3 linked regions of the Elephas maximus indicus genome follow. Each later gene encodes a partner of the first gene's protein in a complex. Links are inferred from orthologs where the notes say so. Each region holds a gene or a part of one and is shown on either strand. Other genes may lie near its edges.

Region 1 (7,097 bases):
TGGAGGACAGGCTCCATCCAGACAAACAAATGATAGTAATCCTTGCAAGAGAAATGGTGGCCCAGAAGACAGTGGTAATTGGGTCAAGGCAGGGTACAGATAAATGACATTATTCATTCAATAAATATTAAATATCATTGTCTAATGTGCAAGACACTGAGCATGGCCTTGGAGGGGTGCAGTGGTGAGCAAAAAAAAGGACACAGTCCCTGCTTTTGCGGAGTTCACATACAGCCTAGTGGGGGCCCAAATGTAAAACTGCAACTATGTGGAATGCTAAGAAGGAGTTAATAGCTTTCTCAGAGAGGCTACAAGATTTTTCGCTTGAGGAAGTGGCATTTGAGCTGAGATCTGAATGTCGAGTAGGAATAAATTAAGGGAAGAATGGCTGGAAGGACTTCTTGTGGAGTACTGATTACAGGGGATCCCAGTGGATACCAGGCAGCCAGCAGATGATTGCAGCTGTCTTTTTTTTTTTAGGTACGAGGTAACTGGCTAGGATGCTGGGGTGGCGGGGAGAGTTTGTGGAAAAAAGTAGACAGAATAGAGAGATGTTTAGGAGGCAAATTTGTAAAGTCTTGATGGTTGTGCAAGAGGAAGGGATCAAGTGTACCACCATTGTTGCTGCCTGGTGCAACCAGATGATTCAAGAGCTCTTCACCCAGATGGAGAACTAGGAGAGAACCAGGTTTGGGGAGGTAATATATTTAGTTTGGGCCATGGTGAGTTATAGATGCCTTTGAGACATCCAAGAGGACATGTCGAGTAGGCACTTGGATCCATGGGTGTGGGACTAAGATGAGAAAGGGCTGGAAGAAAAAACAGATGAGTCATCAGTATATAGGTGGTAACTGATGCCATGGGTGTGAATGACCTTGCCCAGGGAGAGAGGGTTCAATGAAATTATAAGGGGCTCTAAGACCCAGCTTTCATGAACATCAACTCATTTCTTACATCAGGAAAAAAAAACCACCTCCCTTTATACATCAAACACCAGCCATGGGATCAGTGACCTCAGCCTAAATCCCAAAGCTCTTGGTGCTACCCAGGCTGAGTGACAGGGCCGCATTCTTCCCATAATTCCATCCTGCTTCCACCCCTGCAGGGGGCCGTTGTGACTGCTGCTAAGTGCTCTTCCTAGTCCTAGTGAGAAACTTGTGGGAGCTCCAGGGAGGTGGATGCGTCCATTGGCAGAGCTCACAGACTTTCCCTGTATCCAGGAAGTTTGTGAATGCCTTTTGTTCCTAATCCTCTGTGTCTAGGTTGAGATCATCCACCAAGCTGGGCCAGGGTCCAGTCTCATGTTAACGTTTGGGGATTTTCTGAGTTCCTTTGGCTTTGCTGTACACAGAGGACATGGTCTCTGTCCTCTTGTGCCTTCTCCACTCCCCTCCTTTGGAGAAGAAAGGCATTCCTGCCTGAGTGTGGCTGAACCTTCTCTTGGGGTGCAGCCCCCTATAGCTCTGCTCTGCAGGCTTCTCAGCTCTCAGGCTCACCCCACTTCTCTCTGGAGTGAATGATAGGAAGTTGGAGTAGCTTGGTGGTTGTCATCAACATGTTAATAAATCTCTTAGTACCCCAGGCACATGGTGCTAAGATTTGGGGGAATAGGGATATACAGCCCTCTTGAGAGGTAGAATTGTTTGTGAGCCTATGGGGAGTCTTCAGTTCAGCTGCCATGAGAAGTCTAGCGTTAGGTCAGACCCCAGGACTACTTCCTGGTTGGGACAATGACTTCCCCCTGACAAACCACAGGGGCTTGGCTGGCCGTCAGAGCCACCATCTTCAGCTGACTGGTTTTTGAGGCCACACAGTGTCCTTGGAGATGGAAAGATGGTTTGGAGCCAACTCCTAGGAAAGGAGCCCAGCTTTCAGCCTCTATAAGCATGGCATGGTGGGGGCATCGTCAGACCTTTGTCTGACTTCTCAAGGGGGAGGAGAGAATCAAGATGAACATTAGCCCAAGGCTGATTCCTATGAGATGGAGCCCTGGTGGTGCAGTGGTTAAGGTGCTCAACTGCTAACAAAAGGTTGGCGGTTTGAAACCATCAGCCAGTCCCAGGAGAGAGATGTGGCAGTCTGTTTCTGTAGGGACTTACAGCCTTGGAAACCCTGTGGGGTCACAGTGAATTGAAACTGACTTGACAGTGGGTTTTTTTTGTAGGGGGCGGGGAATGTTAAACATACCTCCAGCCTTTTTACCAATTCAGACACCAGCTGTCCCTCCCACCACACTCTACTTCTCTGCTGGGTTCTGGGGGTGGGGGGTGGGGGCGGTGAACAGACACTTCACCAAAGAAAATATACGAATGGTGAATAAGCATACGAAAAGACACTCAACATCACTAGGCACCAGGGAAATGCAAATTAAAACCACAATAGGATAAACACCACATACACACCAAATGGCTAAAATTGTTAAGGGCTGTTGAGTCGGCTCTGACTCATAGCGACCTGACTTGTGTAACAGACAAAACGTTCCCCAGTCCTGCCTCATCACAATTGTTATGCTTGAGCCCGTTGTTGCAGCAACTGTGTCAATCCATTTAATTGAGGGCCTCCTTCTTTTTCACTGACCCTCAACCAAGCATGATGTCTTTCTCCAGCGATTGACAAAAAGACCAAAAAGTTAAAAACACCAAATATTGACATCCAAGGATGTGGAGTAACAGGAACTGTCGGTGAGCGTATAAAACGATAGAAACATTTTGGAGAAAGGTCTGGCAGTTTCTTATAAAATTAAACGTACAACTACTCTTAAGCCTAGCAGTTCTACTCCTAAATATTTACCCAAGAGAAGTGAAAAACATACGTTTACAAAGTAACTTGCACAGCAGCCGTGTTGATAATAACCAAAATCTTTAAAGTGCTAGCCTGTAAGGCAACAGAATGGATAAACAGTGGTATCCATACAATGCAGTACTGTTCAGCAGTAAGAAGAAACAAACTGTTGATACATGCAAGAACATGGATGGGTCTCTCAAATATTCTGCAAATGAAAGAAACCTTACACAAGAAGTGTACGTTACAATTTCATTTATCTTAAGTTCTAGAATATGCTAAATTAATCTATGGTAGATAAAAATCAGGACAATGGTTGCCTCTGGAAGGTGGAACAGAGAGAGGAATTGACTGGAAAGAGTCCTTAGAGAACTTTCTAGGGTTTTAGTAATGTTCTGTATCTTGACAGGGTATGCGTTATGCAGGTATGTGCATTTGTCAAAATTCAGTGAATGTACACTTCAAAGTTGCATTTCATTGTAAATTCTACATCAAAAGAAAAAATGTAAACAAATATTGAACTCTAGCTAATCGTATGCACGCTTAAGTATTTATGGGGAAATACTCATGTCTGCAATTTACTTTGAAATGCATCAGAACATAAGATGGAGTCACAGATGTACAGACGGATATGATAAAGCAAGTATAAAAAACAACAACCCCGTTGCCGCGGAGTAGTTCCCGGACTCACAGCGACCTTGGTAGACTCAAACTGCCGATCTTTTGGTTAGCAGTCAAATGCTTAACCACTGCAGGACCAGGGCTCCCACAGCGAGCAGAGTAAAACGTTTAGTGGTGGAATCTACGTGGTGGGCAACAGGTGTTCACTGTTCTTTCAACTTTGAAAATATTCATAATAAAAGGGCAGTGATTTGGGGGATTTTGCAGGAAAGCTCTGCCACTGGAGGAGCTGGATGGGCTTCCAAAACAAACAATCCGCTGCTATCGAGTCTTCTGACTCACAGCGACTCTACAGGACAGAATAGAACTACCACACAGGATTTCCAAGACTTAAATCTTTACAGAAGCGCGCTGCCACATCTTTCTCTGGCTGGTGGGTGCCAACCACCGACCTCTCGGTTAACAGCCAAACGCTCAACCGCTGTGCCACTAGGGCTTACATGGACTTAGAACTGAGCAAATGGAAATACCGGAAGTAGAGGGAGGCAGAAGCCTGGCGTGTGACCTAGCAAAATTAACCTTTTTGCAGTCTTTGTTTCCCAACTGTCAAACGGGTATAGTATTGCATCCGGGTTTCCGGGACGGCACCGGAAGCTGCTTATCAACCGCTCTTCCCATTGGATGCGGGCCTTTCGTGGGGCGGGCGCCGCTGGGAGGTGGAGGCAGCCGCAGGCATGGCGGCGGCTGTGCCGCTGGCTGTCTTGGTGCTGTTGATTCTCTGGCCGGGCGGCTGGGGCCATGCAGAGCCCCCACGCGACAGCCTGCGAGAGGAGCTCGTCATTACCCCGTTGCCATCCGGGGACGTAGCCGCCACATTCCAGTTCCGCACGCGCTGGGACTCGGAGCTGCAGCGGGAAGGAGGTGAGAGGACAGGATCTGACCCGAGAAAGCTTTCCGTGGCACCTGCTGGGGGGTGAGGTGAGGCAAGATGTGGGTGCGGAGCCTGACCCCAGGGTGGGGTTCTGGCTCCTGGGCTTGGGGACTAAAGAGCTGGGTCGTTGGGGAAGGACGGGGTGGTTATTAAGAAACCCCATTGTACCGACAGCGAAACTGAGGCCTGGATAGGGACAGTGACTCCTGATTCCTAGTCCAGTGCTCTTTACACAGCTCCAGGCTGCCATTCTAAGTCTTTAGTCATCTGTTGGCAGCAATGATGCTACTGCTGCCGTTGGCGGTTTTCATTTATCCTGGATGCTGGGCACAGTTCTTAGTGCTGTAAACGACTACAAGGAAGAAATTGAGGTGTAGGGAGGTAAAGGGACTTGGCCAAGATCACATCGCTGTTAAGCAACGGTCTGGTCTGGAATCCAGATCTCGTTGACTCAGATCCTGGGATCTGCTGCTTCTTTGGGTTGACAGAGAGCCCTGCCTTTGGGATCTTTACCCACTGCTTCCCCCGCCCCCCAGTGTCTCATTACAGGCTCTTCCCCAAAGCCCTGGGGCAGCTGATCTCTAAGTATTCTCTACGGGAGCTCCACCTTTCCCTCACACAAGGCTTCTGGAGGACCCGATACTGGGGACCACCCTTCCTGCAGGCCCCATCAGGTGCAGAGCTCTGGGTCTGGTTCCAAGACACCGTCATTGAGTAAGTGCCTACCTTGGGTCCTGTTGAGCATGGCAGGGAAGATGTTGTCATCCTGCACTGCCCATAGGGGCAGTGATTCCAGCAGGCAGCGGTTCCAAGGCTGCTGTTGGAAGTCAGAAATGATATTACCACTGAGTGGTATTCTTTACTGAATACACTTCCTTCGTCTAATAACTCCCAGACCTGAGATGGCACATGTACATCCCTGCAGAGACAGAGAACAAACTGTGGCAAACCAGAGAGCTTTTAAAAAGGCACTCAAATAATAATAATAATAAATACCATGAAAGCCAAACAAAACAGAGCTGTGGACTAGAATTGTCCTATAGGCTGGCAGTTTATGATTTCTGTATTAGAGGAATGGCTTTTGTTTGGGAGAAGCATGGGTCTAGTCACTGTTGTTGTACCACAAAAACGATTCCCCAGTGGCTGCTGTGACTCTTCTACTTAGAATAGACCCTCTGTAAGCCAGACAGGGTTTTGAACTCATGTCTCCTGGGGACAGGCAGGTAACATCAATGAATAAAGATGTAAACATTTTTATAGAGACACAAAACCAAAAAACCAAACCCTCTGCATCGAGTCGATTCCAACTCATAGCGACCAGGGATGAGAAATATGTCTCATTTCTCTTTTAATTCTGGTGTAAGAAATCAGCAGCACAAGTATGATAAACACTTGTAGGGCAGTAATAAGGAATGGTGGGGACTGTGGCAGGCTAGAGGGCTCATACCAATCTAGAGGACAGCTGCTGTTAAGTTCCCATGGATTCTTGCCATGTGGGAACAGAGGCTCAGTGTCATCAGATACTCTCATTTTTCGAGAGAGACCAGAAATCTGGATTTTTGTGTGAAAATTGGTGGATTTACATATCAACAAGTAATTTAGAAATTCAAGAAATGCTATATGAGGCAGGATAGAGCTTTCAGGCTTAGTGTTTGCTTTCTTTGTTTGGGGCTTATGGATTGGAGCAATTGAAGAGCTAGGAGCAGTAGATTATCAAAAAGTCCCAGGACAGCACTAAGAGGATGCCAGACGAGGAGCAAGCAGTGACCCTCAAGCTTGCCATGGCTTCCTCTCTTGCCTCAGCTCTGCTTTCCTGCCTTTTTTTTCTCTCTGCTTTGCTGTTTCTGTCTTTTCTCAGCCCGTAATTGCCTATAATGTAGAGCTGATGTTCAGAATTTTAGTATTTATTAAATTTTATACCTTCAGTTAATATGGGTGCCCGGGTGGCACAGTAGTTAAGCATTTGTCTGCTACCCAGAAGGTCAGCAATTCGAGTTCACCAGCCACTCTTTAGAAACTCTATATGGCAGTTCTCTGTCCAGTAGCATCACTATGAGTTGGAATTGACTTGACAGCAGTGGGTTTGGTTTTTTGGTTATTGTTAATATGAGTTCCCTGGGTGGCAAGAAGGGTTTGAGCTCGTCTACCAATCGAAAGATTGTTGGTTCAGACCCACCCAACGGCAGCACGGAAGAAAGGCTTGGCAATCTTCCTTACAGGTTACAGCCAAGAAAACCCTATGGAGCTCAGTTCTACCCTGTAACACATGGGGTCACCATGAGTTGTAATTGACTCAACGGGAACAGATATTATTAATATAGAAAACCAATCTGTTTTAATGTTTTTCTAGGAAAATAACCTAATTTAATTTGATATTTTTGTGGGGTCCTAGAATGGTTGTTTTCTCTGGTCCAGTGAGCCTTGTGGATATAAGTAGAAACAGAACATATGTTCAGGCCCAGGGTTTTCATAGAGCAGAGTGTGTCGTTTTGCGAGGCTGAGCAAATCTCAGGGTGGATCAGCGAGCTGTCTGCTCAGCCCTCTGAGGCGTGAGGCACTTTGCATGGTGTTGTGGGAGATACATGGATGACCCAGACTTGTTCCTTGTCTTCAAGTTGCTCACGGCCTAGTTGGGGAGAAAAGGTGCTTAGGACCAGATGCCTACCACCTAGCCATCTCCAAGAGGGGCCTGGTGAGAGGCTGGGGTAGTCAGAACCACGGCAACATAGAGGAGGCTGTGGTTGAGGGGGGCAGGAAAGGCCCT
Region 2 (7,892 bases), on another chromosome or scaffold:
TTTCAGCCCCAAGCCTCTGCCCCTGTCTCCCCTCTGGGTGTCTGAGTTCTGGGAAATTGAAGTGCTCCCTATTTCCCATCCCTCCCTCCACACAGGGCAAGTGCTTCTGGGCACTGGGGGTGGCCTGGTGGTGTCACTTCCCCCAGTCTTCCCATACTAACCTAGCTGACCTACTGGCCATCTTCCCTGAAACACTTGTGCAGTCCACTGGGGCCAGCCTCTGGCAATGGGGTGGTGAGTAGGCAGTAGGCATAGGAAATTTGGGGTATGGAAGAGGAGAGGTTCTGGAAGCCTATGGCTGTCCTTTGTGCCACCCCTACTCCCTACCTGCCCCCTTCGTCCCAACGTTTTCCTCCAGAAGCTGAGGGAAGGGGTGGGAGATGATGCGTAGTACTTATGCCTCCTTCTGAAGCCTTGGAAGTGAGTGCAGTTTCCTTAGGGGCCCTACTGAGGATGAGAAAGGAGAAGTTAGAAAGGCCAGGGTTTATGCCTATCTCAGGGAAGAACTGAATTCAGAGGGAGAAGGGTTGGCATCCTTGACTGGGCAGCAGTTTCATAAGACCTGTAGTTTTAGGGCTGCTCGCTTCCCCTCCCCCCTGAATCTTTTGCTGGGGCTGGGAAGGGTGCCCACCAGGGAAAAAAGGAGGTGTGAGAACTAGGGCTCTGAGCCCGCTAGCTGTCAGAGTGGTGCCACTTTGATGCCTGGGACCCATGCCAAGGACTGCTGCCATGTTCCCAGCCCCATGCTGGGGGTGGGGGGTGGGGGCAAGCCATTTGGCCCATCTGGCCAGGAGAGGAAGTAGAGGAGGTATGGGTCTTGTCTCCATTCCAGAGAGCTGTCACCATGCCCAACTCGTACCCAGCACTTTCTCCTGAGCAGAAGAAGGAGTTGTCTGACATTGCCCTCCGGATTGTGGCTCCAGGCAAAGGCATTCTGGCTGCAGATGAGTCTGTAGGTAGGTGGAGGCCTGTGGCTAGGTGGGGTAAAGGTGTTCAGAGAGCCCTGGGGATGGCCTTGCTGCCCCTCCTTGTTTGTCTCCAGGTAGCATGGCCAAACGGCTGAGCCAAATTGGGGTAGAGAACACAGAGGAGAACCGCCGGCTGTACCGCCAGGTCCTGTTTAGTGCCGATGACCGAGTGAAGAAGTGCATTGGAGGTGTCATCTTCTTCCATGAGACACTCTACCAGAAAGATGATAACGGCATCCCCTTTGTCCGTACAATCCAGGATAAGGGCATCGTTGTGGGCATCAAGGTGCAGCCACTGGCCCTGGGTAGGGGTTGGATGCGGAAATAGGTATCTGTGGGAGGGTCGGCAAGGGGGATCCTGCTTGGGTTCAGCTCTCTGCATGTGTATCCCCTACAGGTTGACAAGGGTGTGGTGCCTCTAGCTGGGACTGATGGAGAAACCACCACTCAAGGTACAGGGTGGGTGGGCTTCAGGACCACAGGGGTGCTGGAAGGTTGATGCAAGCAAAAGAGGGGCAGAGTGATGAGGCTGGCATTGTGTCTACAGGGCTGGATGGGCTCTCAGAACGCTGTGCCCAGTACAAGAAGGATGGCGCCGACTTCGCCAAGTGGCGCTGTGTACTGAAAATCACTGAGCGCACGCCCTCAGCACTTGCCATTCTGGAGAATGCCAACGTGCTGGCCCGCTATGCCAGCATCTGCCAGCAGGTGTGTGTGTGTGGGGGGGTGATTAGATGGGTGTCCTGTGCCTGGTGGGGAGAAGGTTATAGGGCTTTCTCCCGTCCTACCTACTGCCCCTCCCAAGCCACTCTGCTCTTACCTGCAGAATGGTATTGTGCCTATTGTGGAACCTGAAATCCTGCCTGATGGAGACCATGACCTCAAACGTTGCCAGTATGTTACAGAGAAGGTGAGTCCTCACCTGGGCACATACCACAGGGACAGCTTGACAGGGCAGCCTGTTCCCCATAGTTCCTGGCTCAGATCCAGGTACACTTTTCCAAAGATTCTTTTTACTTGATTCCAGAACAGGCCTGTGGGTCTGAGCCTGTACTGAGCCCTCACAATCTATGCCCACCCCTCCACTCCCTGGATAAGGACTATAGAGCAGTAAGTGGACCCGTAAGGGACCCAGAACCTTAGAAATCCCTTCTGATCCCCAGGTCCTGGCTGCTGTGTACAAAGCCCTGAGTGACCATCATGTTTACCTGGAGGGGACCCTACTGAAACCCAACATGGTGACCCCTGGCCATGCCTGTCCCATCAAGTATACCCCAGAGGAGATCGCCATGGCGACCGTCACTGCCTTGCGTCGCACTGTGCCCCCAGCTGTCCCAGGTATCACCCTGCTTCTATCCCTAAGGCCCATCTTCAGGTTCTTGTGGCCTTCAAGGGTCTCTTGCCCTGGAAAAATAGGGAATGACCAGTTTGTCTTCTCTCCTCCACCCTAGGTGTGACCTTCTTGTCTGGGGGTCAGAGTGAAGAGGAGGCATCGCTCAACCTCAATGCCATCAACCGTTGCCCCCTTCCCCGACCCTGGGCCCTCACCTTCTCCTATGGGCGTGCCCTGCAGGCCTCTGCACTCAATGCCTGGCGAGGGCAGCAGGACAATGCTGGGGCTGCCACTGAGGAATTCATCAAGCGGGCTGAGGTTGGGAGCTAGAGGTGGTGATAAGGGGGTGGCAGTGGTGGCGTGTAGCCTAGCAGGGGGCAGCACCCATAGACTACAGCCTGGGAAGGTTTGGCACCTGTGAGCTGGCTCAGCCTGAGTCCAGCTGATCTCCCTTACATACCTCCCCTCTCTCTCTCCAATCTTACAGGTGAATGGGCTTGCAGCTCAGGGCAAGTATGAAGGTAGCGGAGAAGATGGAGGAGCCGCAGCACAGTCCCTCTACATTGCCAACCATGCCTACTGAGCACCCATTCCACACCACAGTCCTTGACCTGGCCACATGCACCCAATTTTGCCTGTAGTTATGGCCCGGGCCAAGTAGCCATGCAGAGCAGAGGGCCTCCATTCAGTGCCAAGTTCTCCATTTTATCTTCTTCCCTCCCCTCTCCCATGTTGCACCTGGGACCATAGGATGGGAAGCCCCTGATGACTGAGGGCAGGAGGACTTGCTAGAAGTCAGAGCGGGATGCCTGGGTCTTCTGTGTGCCTCTGTAACCCCCTACAATTTCCCCACGATGGGGTAGCTTCTCCTTGGGCTCTCCTTCTTGCCTCTCCTCTTCTGGGACCAGAGGGTAGGACACTAGCCCTGATTCATGCTGAATACATACCACATAGCAAATAAATGGTAGCAAACATGCTACTCTGTCTGTCTGTTTTCCGCGTCAAATTGCCACCTCCCAGTTGCTGACCTTTGCTGATTCTGTCTCTGGGCCCTCTGATGGTGGTGGTAGACAGGATCAGTTTTGAGTTGGAGGGCTTCAGGTTTATGGGGGAGGGGCACACCCATTCATTATCACCAGCTTAGTCTCTTGCCTGCTGTTACCTAAGGCTGGAGTGGGGCAGTGTGAAGGGTTGCAAGTCTTCCGAGGACTGCCACATCAGGGGCACTAGGCTGCAGCTGCAGAAGGATGGAGTGAGGCAAGACCAGAGCAACTCCTGAAGGCAGATTGTGTGCAAGGCCCCAAACAAGGAGGCAGCAGGACAAGCTGGGAGAAGAGGGGGTGGAAGTCTCTTATATCTCATCTGTGTTGAGCCCTGCTGGGGCCTGAAACATTCAGCTAGGGGAAGCCGCAACAGAATCACCTGGGCTTCTGGGGGCTGCTACGCTGGGCAGGGTACCTAGGAAATTGCGAAGTGCTATAGCCCACTCCCATTTGGGGAAAAGGCACAGAGGGGGACAATTTGGGGTTCTGAGCAAGGGCAGACTTGGTAGGGCCTCGTGCTGAACTTTGACCAGTTGGCTGGAGTGTGAGGCAGGCTGAGCACCTGAATCTGCATGAGCAGACTAGTAAGATAAAGAGATGTGGGAACATGCTGGGTGTGTTGTGTGAACTGAGAGCTACGCTTCACCCAGTTAATTATTGCAAAGTGGGAATGTAGGCCTGACCTTATAACAAAAATAGCTAACAGAGATAGCACTTTTTACGTGCTCTTGCCAGGCCCGGTTCTAGTCACTCTACGTATACTAACTCGTTTAATACAACAATCCTGTAAAGTAAGTACTATTGTCCCTATTTTAACATGAGGGAACAGTTACAGCAGTTAATTAACTCACTCAAGATTACTCAGGTATTAAGTGGTGAAGCTAGGATTTGAACCCAAGTGATCAGGATTCAAAGTCTGTGTTCTTATGAATTTTCAAGATTTTTAAGTGTCTGAAGTTTTACAAGTTGAAAATGAATACAAGGTGAATTAAAACACTGCACTGAGTGAGCCAATTTTGCTAAGAGTTAGTAGCTTGCCACCTCCGTGTTTGAGGGTGAGGATAGGGCTCCCAGAAGAGGCAGCGCTATGAAGGGGATGATAAACAGTGATGGTAGTAGTTGACATTTGAGTGCCTTGAGGGTCTTTACACGAATGCTCTCACCATTTAACACGAGAAAACAGGCTCAGAGTTGCGAAGTAATTTGCTCCTTGGTCGCCTAGCTAGTATTTAATGACTGCAGAATTTACGTTCTTAATCCCTGGGGGCTCGGAATGTGTTCTACAAGAAAAAAAATTTTTTTTTTGAAAGCTGGAGCTTAATCAGGTGCCCCCAGCAACGCCGTCACTCGCCCCTCCTTGTCCTTGTACCCTCCTTTCGAATTCCCAGCGAGGCTCCATGCAGACCCCGCCCACGCCGCCGGCTTTCTCCCGCCTGGCAGTTTGGAGTGCCACTCTCTAGCGGAGCCGTCGTTGCCGTGGTCCCGCCCCCTCCCTACGGGGCTTCCGATTGGAGGAGGCACGTGCAGCTCCGCCCCTCGGCGGCTTGAGCAGCCGGAAGCGAGCATGGCGGCCGCAGGGGCCGCCGCCACAGATATAGGTGCGGTGGGACTCGCGTGGTGTTTCTTGGACGCCCAGGGAGGAATGCGGGGGTGGGGATGGTGACCCCGCAGACATGGGGCAGGGGTCTCAGACAGGGGTCCCTTCAGAGTTGAGGCCCCTCGGGCGGACATCCCTACTGACGCGGGCCGAGGGCCTCTGGGCCCCGGTTGCCCGGCCTCCTCCCCGTTGGGGCTGGGCCTGGCCTCCGAGCTCGACCCCTACGCCTTAGTCGGTCCCCCGTGTCCCTAGAGGTGGTCCGGGGCAAGCGCGCCGCTCTCTTCTTCGCTGCTGTGGCCATCGTGTTGGGGCTGCCACTCTGGTGGAAGACCACGGAGACCTACCGCGCCTCATTGCCCTACTCCCAGATCAATGGACTGAATGCCCTGCAGGTGAGACTCCTTAGGGGAGGACTGGGGGACAGCCCACTGTCAAGGTGGAGACTCAGCGGACGTCCCTGACGCCCCTTCCCGCAGCTGCGGCTCATGGTGCCTGTCACTGTCGTGTTTGCCCGGGAGTCAGTGCCCGTGGATGACCTGGAGAAGCTGCCCTTCACCGTTGTGCATGAGAGAGAGATCCCGCTGAAATGTGAGTTCTGGGGGGCCAGGACTGCCCTTCCGGCCTGAGCTCAGACCAGAGGTGGGTTGGGGAAGGAACCTGGGTGTCCCATAAAGGTAGTTAGAAACTTACTGGTAAAAGCTCTGTCTGAAGGAAGAGTATGTTTGGTTAGAAGAACACTAAATTCACTGTCTGTCATTAAGGCGGAGATTTTATTCATAAAATAGTTCTGGTGCCTTATCAGAAGCAGTTGATGCTCATCAGAGAATAGGGGAGGAAGGGGGATATAGTGGAAAGAACATAGATTTTGAAATTAAATTGGGTTTGAATACAGGTCCTTTTCAGTTTAACGTTAAACACTTCACAGAATATTAGGTGCTTTTTCTTAGGTACCAGGAATTCAGGGAAAAATTAAGTAGATAATTGTTTCAAGAAGTTCATAGGTAGGGGAGAAGGACACTTAGCTAAAGAAATTACAGAAGCATACAAGAACCAGCGATAGCATTTAAGAAACAGATTTAACTGGGAGGAAAGAAAGGCGAGAAGACTGAGAGATGTAACTTTTAAGCCAGCTATTTAAAGGATGAGTAGGAATACAGGTGAGATCCCTGGTAGTGTGCGCAGTGATTGAAGCACTCAGCTGCTAACTCAGCTTGAACCAACCAGCCACCAGCTGAGGGAGAAAGATAACGGTAGTCTTCTTTTGTAAAGATTACAGCCTTGGAAACCTTGTGGGGCAGCTCTGCTCTGTCCTATAGGTTCACCATGAGTTGGAATCCACTTGATGGCAATGGGTTTGGTTTTTGGTTTTGTTCACTTTTGATGATGCAAAAATTATTTGATGAGTTCAGGTATTGTCAGCCTGATCTCTATATTTTAATGTTCCCCATCAACCTTTCATCCAATCCATTGATCTGATCCATTGATCCTGAAATCTCTTTCATTAGTGGTTGCAAAAATGATAATTTTCTAATTCTGTCTTCCACTTATATGGCTTGGATTTCTTCTATAAGGAAGGAAGAACTTTCCCATTAAATATTTAGTTCAGCTTGTCAAGTTCCAGGAAAAAAAAATCCCTTTGGAATCACCTTACATGTATAGATTAACTTGGGGAGAATTGACATCCTTACAATATTTAGTCGTTCTCTGCAAGAGACTTGTATGCTTTTTCCATCTTACCGGGGTCTTTTTTTATGTTCTTCAGTAAACCCGGTGCCGTCGAGTCAATTCTGACTTCAGTAAAGTTCTCGCATTTTCTTATTATGATTTTGTACTTTTATTCTTGGGCACTTTTATAATTTTTATTGTTGCTACGATTGGGATTTTTAAAAATTACTATTTTTCTAATTGAATATTTATCAGAAGGTTATTGATTTGTGTGTATTCTCGTATCTGGTCATCTTACTGAACTGTTGCTACTAGTTCTAATAGCTTTTCAGATGGTTACTTCTTAATTTTCCAAGAAAATATACCGTCTTCAAAAATGGCCATTTTATCTTTTTCTTTCAAGTATTTGTAAGTCTTTTTCTTCACTTATTATGTTGGTTTGGATCTTTAGAAAGAACAGTATCAAATAATAGAAAGTAATAATAGAGGCGATAGCAGGCATCCTTGTTTTTTGTTCTGTTTTTTACCGACTTTAACGGAACCGTATTTAGTATTTTGTCATTCAGTGTGCACCTTTGTTTTTATCAGGTATGTTTATTGAACTTCCTTGGCGTTTTGGGGCAGGGGTGGGGCAGCACTTGAAGCCATTACTGTAATGATTATAGTAGTAGATCTCACAGTTGGAGGATACTACAGCGTGTACACAGGCAGAGAGGCGGGAGCTGGGGCAGATGGAAGAAGTGGAGTGCCGTGTGTTTGATACCATCCATGCAGAAATCATTAGAGTTGGCTGGAGCGTCTTGATCTTTCTCTGCACTCATCTTGCTGTTCTCACACTGGGCAGTGTTAGGACTGCGGGCGATGGGCAGAGAGATCTGAGACTTGCCCTTCCCATCACGCTTCTTCCTCTCCCTCCCAGACAAAATGAAAATCAAATGCCGTTTCCAGAAGGCTTACCGGAGGGCTCTAGACCACGAGGAGGAGGCCCTATCGTTGAGCAGTGTGCAAGGTATGGGGAGGGCATCTTTGTAACATGAATCCCTTTTCATGTGATCTCTTGAGTGTGGTTTTCCTTTTTTTTTTTTTTGAGTGTGTAATTTTCATACCTTGGCTTACCTCCAGTGTGTCTCTGGGAAAGCTGGGAATGAGACACTTTGTGTTTCAGCTTGGGTCACTGAGGGCCAGAGAGGTCAAGTGGTTTGGTCAGCCGGGTGTGAGTGGGAGCTAGAGGGGTGGCCTAGATACTCCGTAGAGGGCCGGTGGAGATGGGATGGTGTTTTTCCTCC
Region 3 (7,564 bases), about 11 Mb from region 1:
TGGCACCTAACAACACGCCTGTAGTTATATAAGATGTTAACAATAAGGGAGGCTGAATGAAGGGTATATGGAATCTCTCTGCACTGTCTTCACAACTCTTCTGTAAGTCTAAAATTTCAAATAAAGTTAAAAACAAACAAAAAGCTACCAATGTGCAGGCAATACAGAAGACAGAGGAACTTATTGAACTATACCAAGAACAAACAGTCAGGAAAAGAACTCTACAGGTCAAATAGTCTTAGTTCTACAACAGAAAAATATTAAAGCAAAGAAAGGGATTGCCAGAAACCCTCAGAGATTAAGAGCTATAAAAGACATATAAAAACATTTTTATAAGGGGAAGACTAAACTATAGTGTTTAGGGTTGCTCATTTGGGTGATAAAACGTCTTTTTAAATGCAAAGACATCATTACTTAATAGTCAGGAGAATGGTTACCAGAGGGGAGGAAGAGGGCTGTGGCTGGGATGAGACATGTGGAAGAGGCTTCTGGAATGGGTAGCAAAGTTCTGATTCTTGACTTGGATGACAGATATAAAAATGTTCACCTTATTATAATTCACTGAGCAATATATTTGTTATGTGTGGTTTCCTGCCTCTGTATTTACTTTACAATAAAAAAATTTTTTTGAAGTAGTGGTATCAAAAGCGATACCACTGCTGACCCTGACTCTCACTGGAGGTGTATTTCTAAATAAGCATCAATACCCTGAGCTCTATCCTGAACTCAAGAAGCTAAATACATACTAACTCCTAATCTTTGGGGTCAGAGGCTGAAGAAAGACCAAAATACAGCAGAAGGGTTCCACTATTATTACTGACAGACTTCTACACAAGATAGTATAAACTCCAGTGCAAGAGTCATGCGAAAAGCTTGCTAGCTCTTCACATAAGACATTATTAGCTACGTGACCTGGGGCAAGTGACTTAATCTCTCTGTACCCCAATTTTCTCATCTATAAAATGAGGCTAGTAACAGTATCTAGGAGTCCCCAAGTGGCGCAAACAAAAACTTGGCGGTTTGAACTCACCCTGTAGCTCTATGGGAGAGAGACCGGGCAATCTGCTTCCATAAATATTACAGCCAAGAAAACCCTATGGGGCAGTTCTACTCTGTCACATGGGGTCACTATGAGTTGAAACCAACTCCGTATCACCCAACAACAACCGTACTCTTAACAGAGGCATGTACAACGCACTACGAGACCAGTGGGAGGAGGGCCTAATGCTGCCTTGGGTCCCCCGGTACCCAGAAGAAAGCAGAAACCAAGTGGCTTTATTTCAATAAATAATTATATACAAAGATATCAAGTCCAACCTCTTAGTATCTCACACATGAATTACTGGGAAACCTGGGCAAGTTGCTTAACTTCACTATATCTGTTTCCTCGACTGTAAAATGGAAAAAATAACAGCATCTATCTCACAGAATTACTGTGCAGATTAAATGAGAAAAGGCATGTAAAAGGCTTACCCATAAAACCATTGCCGTAGAGGCGATTCCGACTCATACTGACACTGTAGGACAGAGGAGAATTGCCCCACAGAGTTTCCGGGAGCGCGTGGTGGATTCAAACGGCTGACATTTTGGTTAGCGGCCGTAGCACTTAACCACTACGCCCCCAGGGTTTCTGATAGTCCCTGATACATACTATTTTAAAAATTTTAGCTCTGATTATCCATAAAACACCCATTTATTATGCCATTTCGTATCCTAAAACATCTATGGGATAACGTCAAAGCTCTAGCATTTAATTTTTTCTTTTTTTTTTAAGGGCATAAGGGGACTTCTGGAGTGCTGGTAATGTTTTGTTTCTTGATCTGGGTGTATTCGGCTTATAAAAATTCATTGAGCTCTACACTTACTATATGTGCACTGTATGTACACTACACTTCAGTTAAATAAAAAACTTGTTTTGTTTTTAAATAAACTTTCAAATTCTGGCCCCAAGGTAAACAGATATTTCACGTCCTTGAACATTTTTTGATCCTGTTTATCTTCTGTTGCCTGGAACTGCACCTCTGTCTAATCTACATCCTTCAAAAGGCATCTCAAATCCAGCATCTTTAGGAAGCTGGGAAAGAAAGAAATGGTTTATTCAGGGTCAGAAACGCTAAGGAAGGAACTGGGTGGACACAGGAAGTACACTTCTCTTCCATGATTATAACTACCTGCTTGTCTTTTCTCCTCCACCAGCCTGTGGCTCCTCCAGCCTAAAATGCATCTCATTGTAAGTGCTACTATAAAACAATGTTTGATGAAGAATTTAAATAAGAAGGAATAGTAGGAAAAATTTCACTGCAAGACCCAGAGTGAGAAGCGGTAAACACACACTCATACACATTCTCCTTGCTTAGGCAAGCCTGGCCCCCTCACCCCCGCCCCCCCCCCCCACGCACATCCCCTATTCCAGGGTAGGACTGCCTGCCATCCTGCACTAAATCCCAATCACCTCTCCAAATCCCACTCCACCCAGGACCACCGCCTCTAATCCGAAACCTTCCATGGACCACGTCCCTAGGCTTTGGCCCCTCAACGGGACACGCCCCCTCAGGTGGTCAGGCCCCAGAACGTTCGCCTCACAACCCCGCCCCACGCCCTCTCCTCTCAACGGCCCCGCCCTCAGCACCGAGCCCCACGCCCTCCCCAAGCACTCCAGAAGCGGGTCAGTTCCTTCAGAACAGCGCGCTCAAGGCCATTGCCCCTGCCTCCCATTCACGGAAGCCGGGACAGCGCAGGCGGGACCTGGCACCCTACCCGAGCCAGTGGCCTCACCTCTTTTCCAAGAGCTCAGTGGAGACACCACCTCCACCCGCTCGGAAATGAACTCGGCCAAGCTGCAGCGGAACAAGGCCGCCCGCACGGTCACAGCCACCACCAGCACCAGGGCCAAGGGAGCCGCCATGATAGCTGGGGCGGGCGCGCAGGCGGGGAGGGAAAGGCCAGGCGGAAGAGCCCCGTGGCCTGCGCGCCACTGCCTGTAGTTCTGCGATCCCGCGCGCGCCGCAGCTGCCGCCGGTACAACCCAACTTGGGTACTAACACCCCCAGGAGGCCTTGCGGCGAGGCTGGCCAGGACGACGGAAAGCGAGGCGGCTCAAGCTTGTTTCAAACCGTAGGGCGACGCCTTCCCCAAGAACAGGTGAAGCGCAAAACCGCGGCAGGTGGAGCTGTGTTGAAAGCAGTTTTCTTCCTGGGCTTATGAGCGAGTTTAAAAGCTAGTTCATTCTTAAGTGTATATTTTTTAAAGAGTATTAAATATTGATTCATTTAGTTATTCTACAGGTGTTTATTGAACGCCAGCTTTATGCTAGGCACTATATTGGGTTCTGAGGATACATTTTGGAGTAGTAGACAGACTTACTAGCTTTCTGACCTTGAACAAGTTGCTTAACTTTCTGTACGTCAGGTCTGGAAAATGCACTGGAGTTGGCTGGTACAGGCTCGCCTTAGACGATTGAGAAATGTTTAGAGATTTTGCTAAGCGGTTAAACACATTGTTAAAAATTAAAGAATGTAAGTTTACAGTTAATTCAATTAAAAACAAAGGCAAAAATACTAAAAACTCGTTACTTCCTCATTATTTTACCTGTTTTATAGTTTTATCTGTACTCTTGAGGTTATAACCGCTAAATCTATGGCAGAAATACTATATAATGGTATGCCGCTGTCCTCTTCTCAAATGGGAGTTCGGTTACCTCCGGTTGGTAGCTTGTAATTCGCCCCGGTGCCAGTGTTTATATAAATCAACAAACTACAAATCAGGGCATTTTGGTTTTGAGAACCAGTTGATAAGCATTAAACAGCATGCCACCTCACTAGTTAATGTATGGCAACTGCTTGTGGTAAGTGCTCACATGTTCTATATTAGTATTAAATAAAGGTACAAGGAAATTTGAGCTCTCTAAAGAAAATAAAACTGGTGCGTAATTAAAAATAAGTGTTGGCAAAGAGCAATGGTAACAGTTCCTGGAAGTGATCAGGGAAGGCTCTGGAAAGAGGTGGCATTTGAGCTGAGACCTGAAGGATTAAAAACTAATCAGAGTTTCCAGGAGGAGGAAATAGGTCCTGAGGCAGGAAACAGCAAGGTGTGCTTGAGGATCAGAAATGAAAAAGTATGGCCCCAGTGGGAGTGGCCAGGGAACAGAGTGGTAGAATGTGTGGGTGGTGAGGCAGGTACCTGTTGGCTTTGATTGGGAATTTGGTTTTTATCAAAGTGCAACCCATTGAGCCATTGAAGAATTTTAAACCAGAAAGTGATGTAATCAGATGTACATTTTTTTAAATTATTTTGTTGTAGTAAAATATATTTTACAAAGCATTTGCCATTTCGACCATTTTTACACGTACAGTTCAGTGACAGTATGTTCACCGTGTTGAGCAACCGTCACTACTATCTGTTGATGATTTTTTTCATCACCCTTAACAGAAATTCAGCACCCTTTAAGCAATAACTCTCCAAATGTACATTTTTAAAAGATCACTGTATGTGCAGGCTATACTGGGTATTAGGGAATATTGCAGTGATAATATTGCACCACCACCATGGCCCCCCTTCTGCCTTTGTAGAACTTGGAGAGTAGTAGAGGAGAAGAGTAATAGTAGAAGACAGTCAAAAAGAATAACACAAGTAAAAATAATATCACATACCCTGATGGGAGAAGGAAAAAAGGGAGCAGGATGCTAGGGGAGTGCAAAAATCAGCCCCAGGCTGATAGCTTTCTGAACCATTGGGAGGAGTAGATCACCTAGGAGAGGGTAAGGAGAAAATTAAGAAGGAATAGAGAGAGGTATTCTCGTCCACTGAGTGCAAAGCACTGTGCCATACTTTTTTTTTTAATTGTGATGAAAATATACATAGCAAAACATACACCAATCCTGAGTAGCATCTGTGGTCTTAAAAGCCTATGAGCGGCCACCTAGGATACTCCACTGGTCTCATCCCTTCGGGAGCAAGGAAGAATGAAGAAAACTGAAGACAAGAGGGAAAGATTAGTGCAAAGGACTAATGGACCATCTACCATGGCCTCCACCAGACTGAGTCCAGTACAACAAGATAGTGCCTGGCTACCAGCACTGACTGCTCTGACAGGGATCACAGTAGAGGTTCCTGGAGAAAAATGTAGAACAAAATTCTAACTCAAAAAGGAAGACCAGACTTGCTGGCCTGACAGATACTGGAGAAACCCTGAGAGTGTGTCCCCTGGACACCCTTTCAGCTCAGTAATGAGGCCACTCTTGAGGTTCATCCTTCAGCCAAAGATTCAACAGGCCCATGAAACAAAACAAGACTAAAGGGGTTCACCAACCCTGGGGCAGGGACTGGAAGGCAGGAGGGAACAGGAAAGCTAGTAATAGGAAACCAAGGGTTGAGAAGAGAGTGTTGACATGTCGTGGGGTTGTTAACCAATGTCATACAACAACATGTGTACTAACTGATGAGAAACTAGTTCTGTAAACCTTCATCTAAAGTTCAATAAATAAAAAAAAGAAAAAAATACACCAACAGTTTTTACATGTTCAATTCAGTGACGTTGATTATATTCTTCAAGTTGTGCAACCATTCTCGCTATCCTTTTCCAAATTATTTTACCACCATTAGCATAAACTCACTGCCCCCTTAGCAAAAACTCCTTTTCCCTTCCTTCCCACACCTGTTAACCACTATTAATTTTTGGTTTCTATATATTTGCTTATTTCATATAAGTGAGATCATATAGTATTTGTCCTTTTGCAACTTATTTTCACTCAGCAAAATGTTTTCAAGGTTCATCCATGTTGTGGCGTGCATCCGGACTTTATTTCTCTTTATGGCTGAATAATAATCCATTGTAAGTACATATATACCAGATTTTGTTTATCCATTCATCTGTTGATGGACATTTCAGTTGTTTCCATATTTTGGTTATTGTGAAAAGCGTGCTGCAGTGGACATTGGAATGAGCACAGGTTTCTGTTTGTGTTACTGCCTTCACTACTGGGTATATATCTAGGATTGGAATTGTTGGGCCATGTGGTAGTTCCATGTTCAGCTTTTTGAGGAACCATCAAACCGTTTTCCACAATGGCTGTACCATTTTATATTTCCACCAGCAATGGAGGAGGGTTCCAGTTTCTCCACAACCTCATCAACATCTATTGTTTTTTGTTATTTTGATCATTACCATTCTAATCGGGGTGAGATGATATCTCATTGCGGTTTTGATTTGTGCTGTACTTTTAATACATATGAGTTCATTTAGTCTGTTCAACCTTTCCTAAAGATGTAGGTGTTGGTATCTCTTTTTATGTAAAAGGAGGAAATATGTATATTACATCATTGTAGAGCTAGTGTAGGGAGGAGAGGCTAAGAACACTGCCTCTGGAGCCAGACAAAGCTGTTCAAATCTGATCTCTGCCAGTTCTTTGCTTTCACCTTTAACAAGTTATTTACCTCTCTGAGCCTCAGATTCCTTGCCTGATAAGTGGAGGTGATTGCAACACTAGTATGATAGTGAAGATTGAACAAGATAATGCAATGCGAAATGCTTGGCACATACCAAGTGCTCAATAATGTATGTCAGTTAGCTGTCATATTATTATTAAAATCATCCTGACAGATGACTTGAAAGTTCTTCTTAGGATAAGGATTGTCATTGGAAAAAAAAAAAATAGTAATTAGCCAGTGGGGGTAGAAGCTGTGACCCAAACCAGTGGTTCTCAAACATTAGTTTGTATGGATGATAGAGCTAAAAATAACAACTTAAAAATAAGAAACATTGGAGTAAGTCTTCATGATATTGGGTTAGGCAATATTTTCTTAGCTATAACACCAAAAGCATAAGCAACAAAAGAAGACATCAATGCATTGGACTCCATCAAAATTAAAAACTTTTGTGCATCAAAAGACACCATTAAGAAAATGAAAAGAGTCCACAGAATGGGAGAAAATATCTGCAAATCATGTATCTAACTAGGGACTTTTCATCAAGAATTTATAAAGAACTTGTACAACTCAAAAAGACAACCCACTTTAAAAATGGGCATGTAGTGTAACGGATTGCTTTTTTGTGTGGCCTTTCTAACCATGGTCTTGTAACTCCCACTCAGGTGATTGGGCGGGACTATGTAATAGAGTAATAGCAGCCCACCAAGGGGATTGATCAGTTTTGCCATCCCATTGGGCTTGAAATGAACCACCTGAGAGGAAAGAGAAGTGCCCACAATCACCAAGGCAGGAGAGACCCACAGAAGACAGCGCAGTGGGCTTCCCAGCTCATGGAGCGAGGAAGCTGAATGCCTTTGGGCAGAAACTGAGGGCCTGAAAGAACCCTACGCCTGACCCATGAATTTGGAACTTGCCAGCCTCCACAAATGTGTGAGCCATTTCCTTTATATGATTTGTGAGTTCTGTGAGACTTTGCAGCGAATTAGGGAACCCAAAGACAGGAGGGAGAGTACTGAGGGGAGTGGGAGCAGTAGATGTTAGAGATGATGGAGTGGTACAGTGGCTTGGAAAAGTAGGACATTTGGGACACCTTTAACCTCCACCTCATAGGAACCACCTTTGTGCTGATCCTTATAAA

What was found.
Region 2: the proteins of PIGT (region 1) and PIGS are in contact, whole or in part, in a cryo-EM structure (PDB 8IMY), measured with the Homo sapiens proteins. The link is inferred for Elephas maximus indicus from reciprocal best matches to the Homo sapiens genes PIGT and PIGS. Residues at the interface, in NP_057021.2 of Homo sapiens: Pro26, Arg27, Val63, Ser64, His65, Tyr66, Arg67, Lys71, Gln75, Lys79, Tyr80, Val133, Gly136, Lys191, Leu193, Pro194, Cys195, Ser196, Lys198, Ala199, Glu270, Pro271, Pro273, Leu274, Tyr526, Ile529, Cys530, Cys533, Val536, Ala537; in NP_149975.1 of Homo sapiens: Thr9, Glu12, Val13, Gly16, Ala19, Ala20, Phe23, Thr230, Pro238, Lys239, Tyr244, Ile247, Glu248, Val251, Gln256, Val270, Asp271, Ser272, Gln273, Ile274, Tyr276, Tyr277, Met279, Ser309, Arg310, Ser313, Ser314, Ala315, Ala316, Phe513.
Region 3: the proteins of PIGT (region 1) and PIGU are in contact, whole or in part, in a cryo-EM structure (PDB 8IMX), measured with the Homo sapiens proteins. The link is inferred for Elephas maximus indicus from reciprocal best matches to the Homo sapiens genes PIGT and PIGU. Residues at the interface, in NP_057021.2 of Homo sapiens: Tyr361, Gly362, Leu363, Gln364, Lys365, Arg394, Leu395, Tyr396, Val397, His398, Tyr416, Pro418, Ala419, Gln420, Asp421, Arg422, Gln445, Glu447, Leu450, Leu451, Lys452, Trp453, Thr454, Pro518, Thr519, Pro520, Asp521, Phe522, Ser523, Met524; in NP_536724.1 of Homo sapiens: Glu30, Lys42, Arg43, Val45, Glu46, Ser49, Leu50, Leu53, Val55, Ser59, Gly60, Ala61, Val62, Pro265, Asp266, Leu267, Pro269, Leu273, Trp275, Tyr276, Phe277, Phe278, Ala279, Glu280, Met281, Phe282, Glu283, Phe289, Phe293, Asn296.

The regions. Positions count from the first base shown.
Region 1 is NC_064843.1:23,850,479-23,857,575, reverse strand, and holds the start of PIGT (GPI transamidase component PIG-T), read left to right. Parts: upstream 1-4,094; 5' UTR 4,095-4,136; coding exon 4,137-4,323; intron 4,324-4,869; coding exon 4,870-5,047; intron 5,048-7,097. UniProt on the Homo sapiens protein: Component of the glycosylphosphatidylinositol-anchor (GPI-anchor) transamidase (GPI-T) complex that catalyzes the formation of the linkage between a proprotein and a GPI-anchor and participates in GPI anchored protein biosynthesis.
Region 2 is NC_064837.1:23,322,697-23,330,588, forward strand, and holds the start of PIGS (GPI transamidase component PIG-S), read left to right. Parts: upstream 1-4,886; 5' UTR 4,887-4,908; coding exon 4,909-4,942; intron 4,943-5,193; coding exon 5,194-5,333; intron 5,334-5,417; coding exon 5,418-5,529; intron 5,530-7,525; coding exon 7,526-7,615; intron 7,616-7,892. Other genes in the region: ALDOC (fructose-bisphosphate aldolase C), read left to right, coding at 845-956, 1,043-1,254, 1,366-1,420, 1,516-1,676, 1,795-1,878, 2,132-2,306, 2,420-2,619, 2,789-2,884. UniProt on the Homo sapiens protein: Component of the glycosylphosphatidylinositol-anchor (GPI-anchor) transamidase (GPI-T) complex that catalyzes the formation of the linkage between a proprotein and a GPI-anchor and participates in GPI anchored protein biosynthesis.
Region 3 is NC_064843.1:34,776,417-34,783,980, reverse strand, and holds the start of PIGU (phosphatidylinositol glycan anchor biosynthesis class U protein), read right to left. Parts: upstream 3,007-7,564; 5' UTR 2,906-3,006; coding exon 2,776-2,905; intron 1-2,775. UniProt on the Homo sapiens protein: Component of the glycosylphosphatidylinositol-anchor (GPI-anchor) transamidase (GPI-T) complex that catalyzes the formation of the linkage between a proprotein and a GPI-anchor and participates in GPI anchored protein biosynthesis.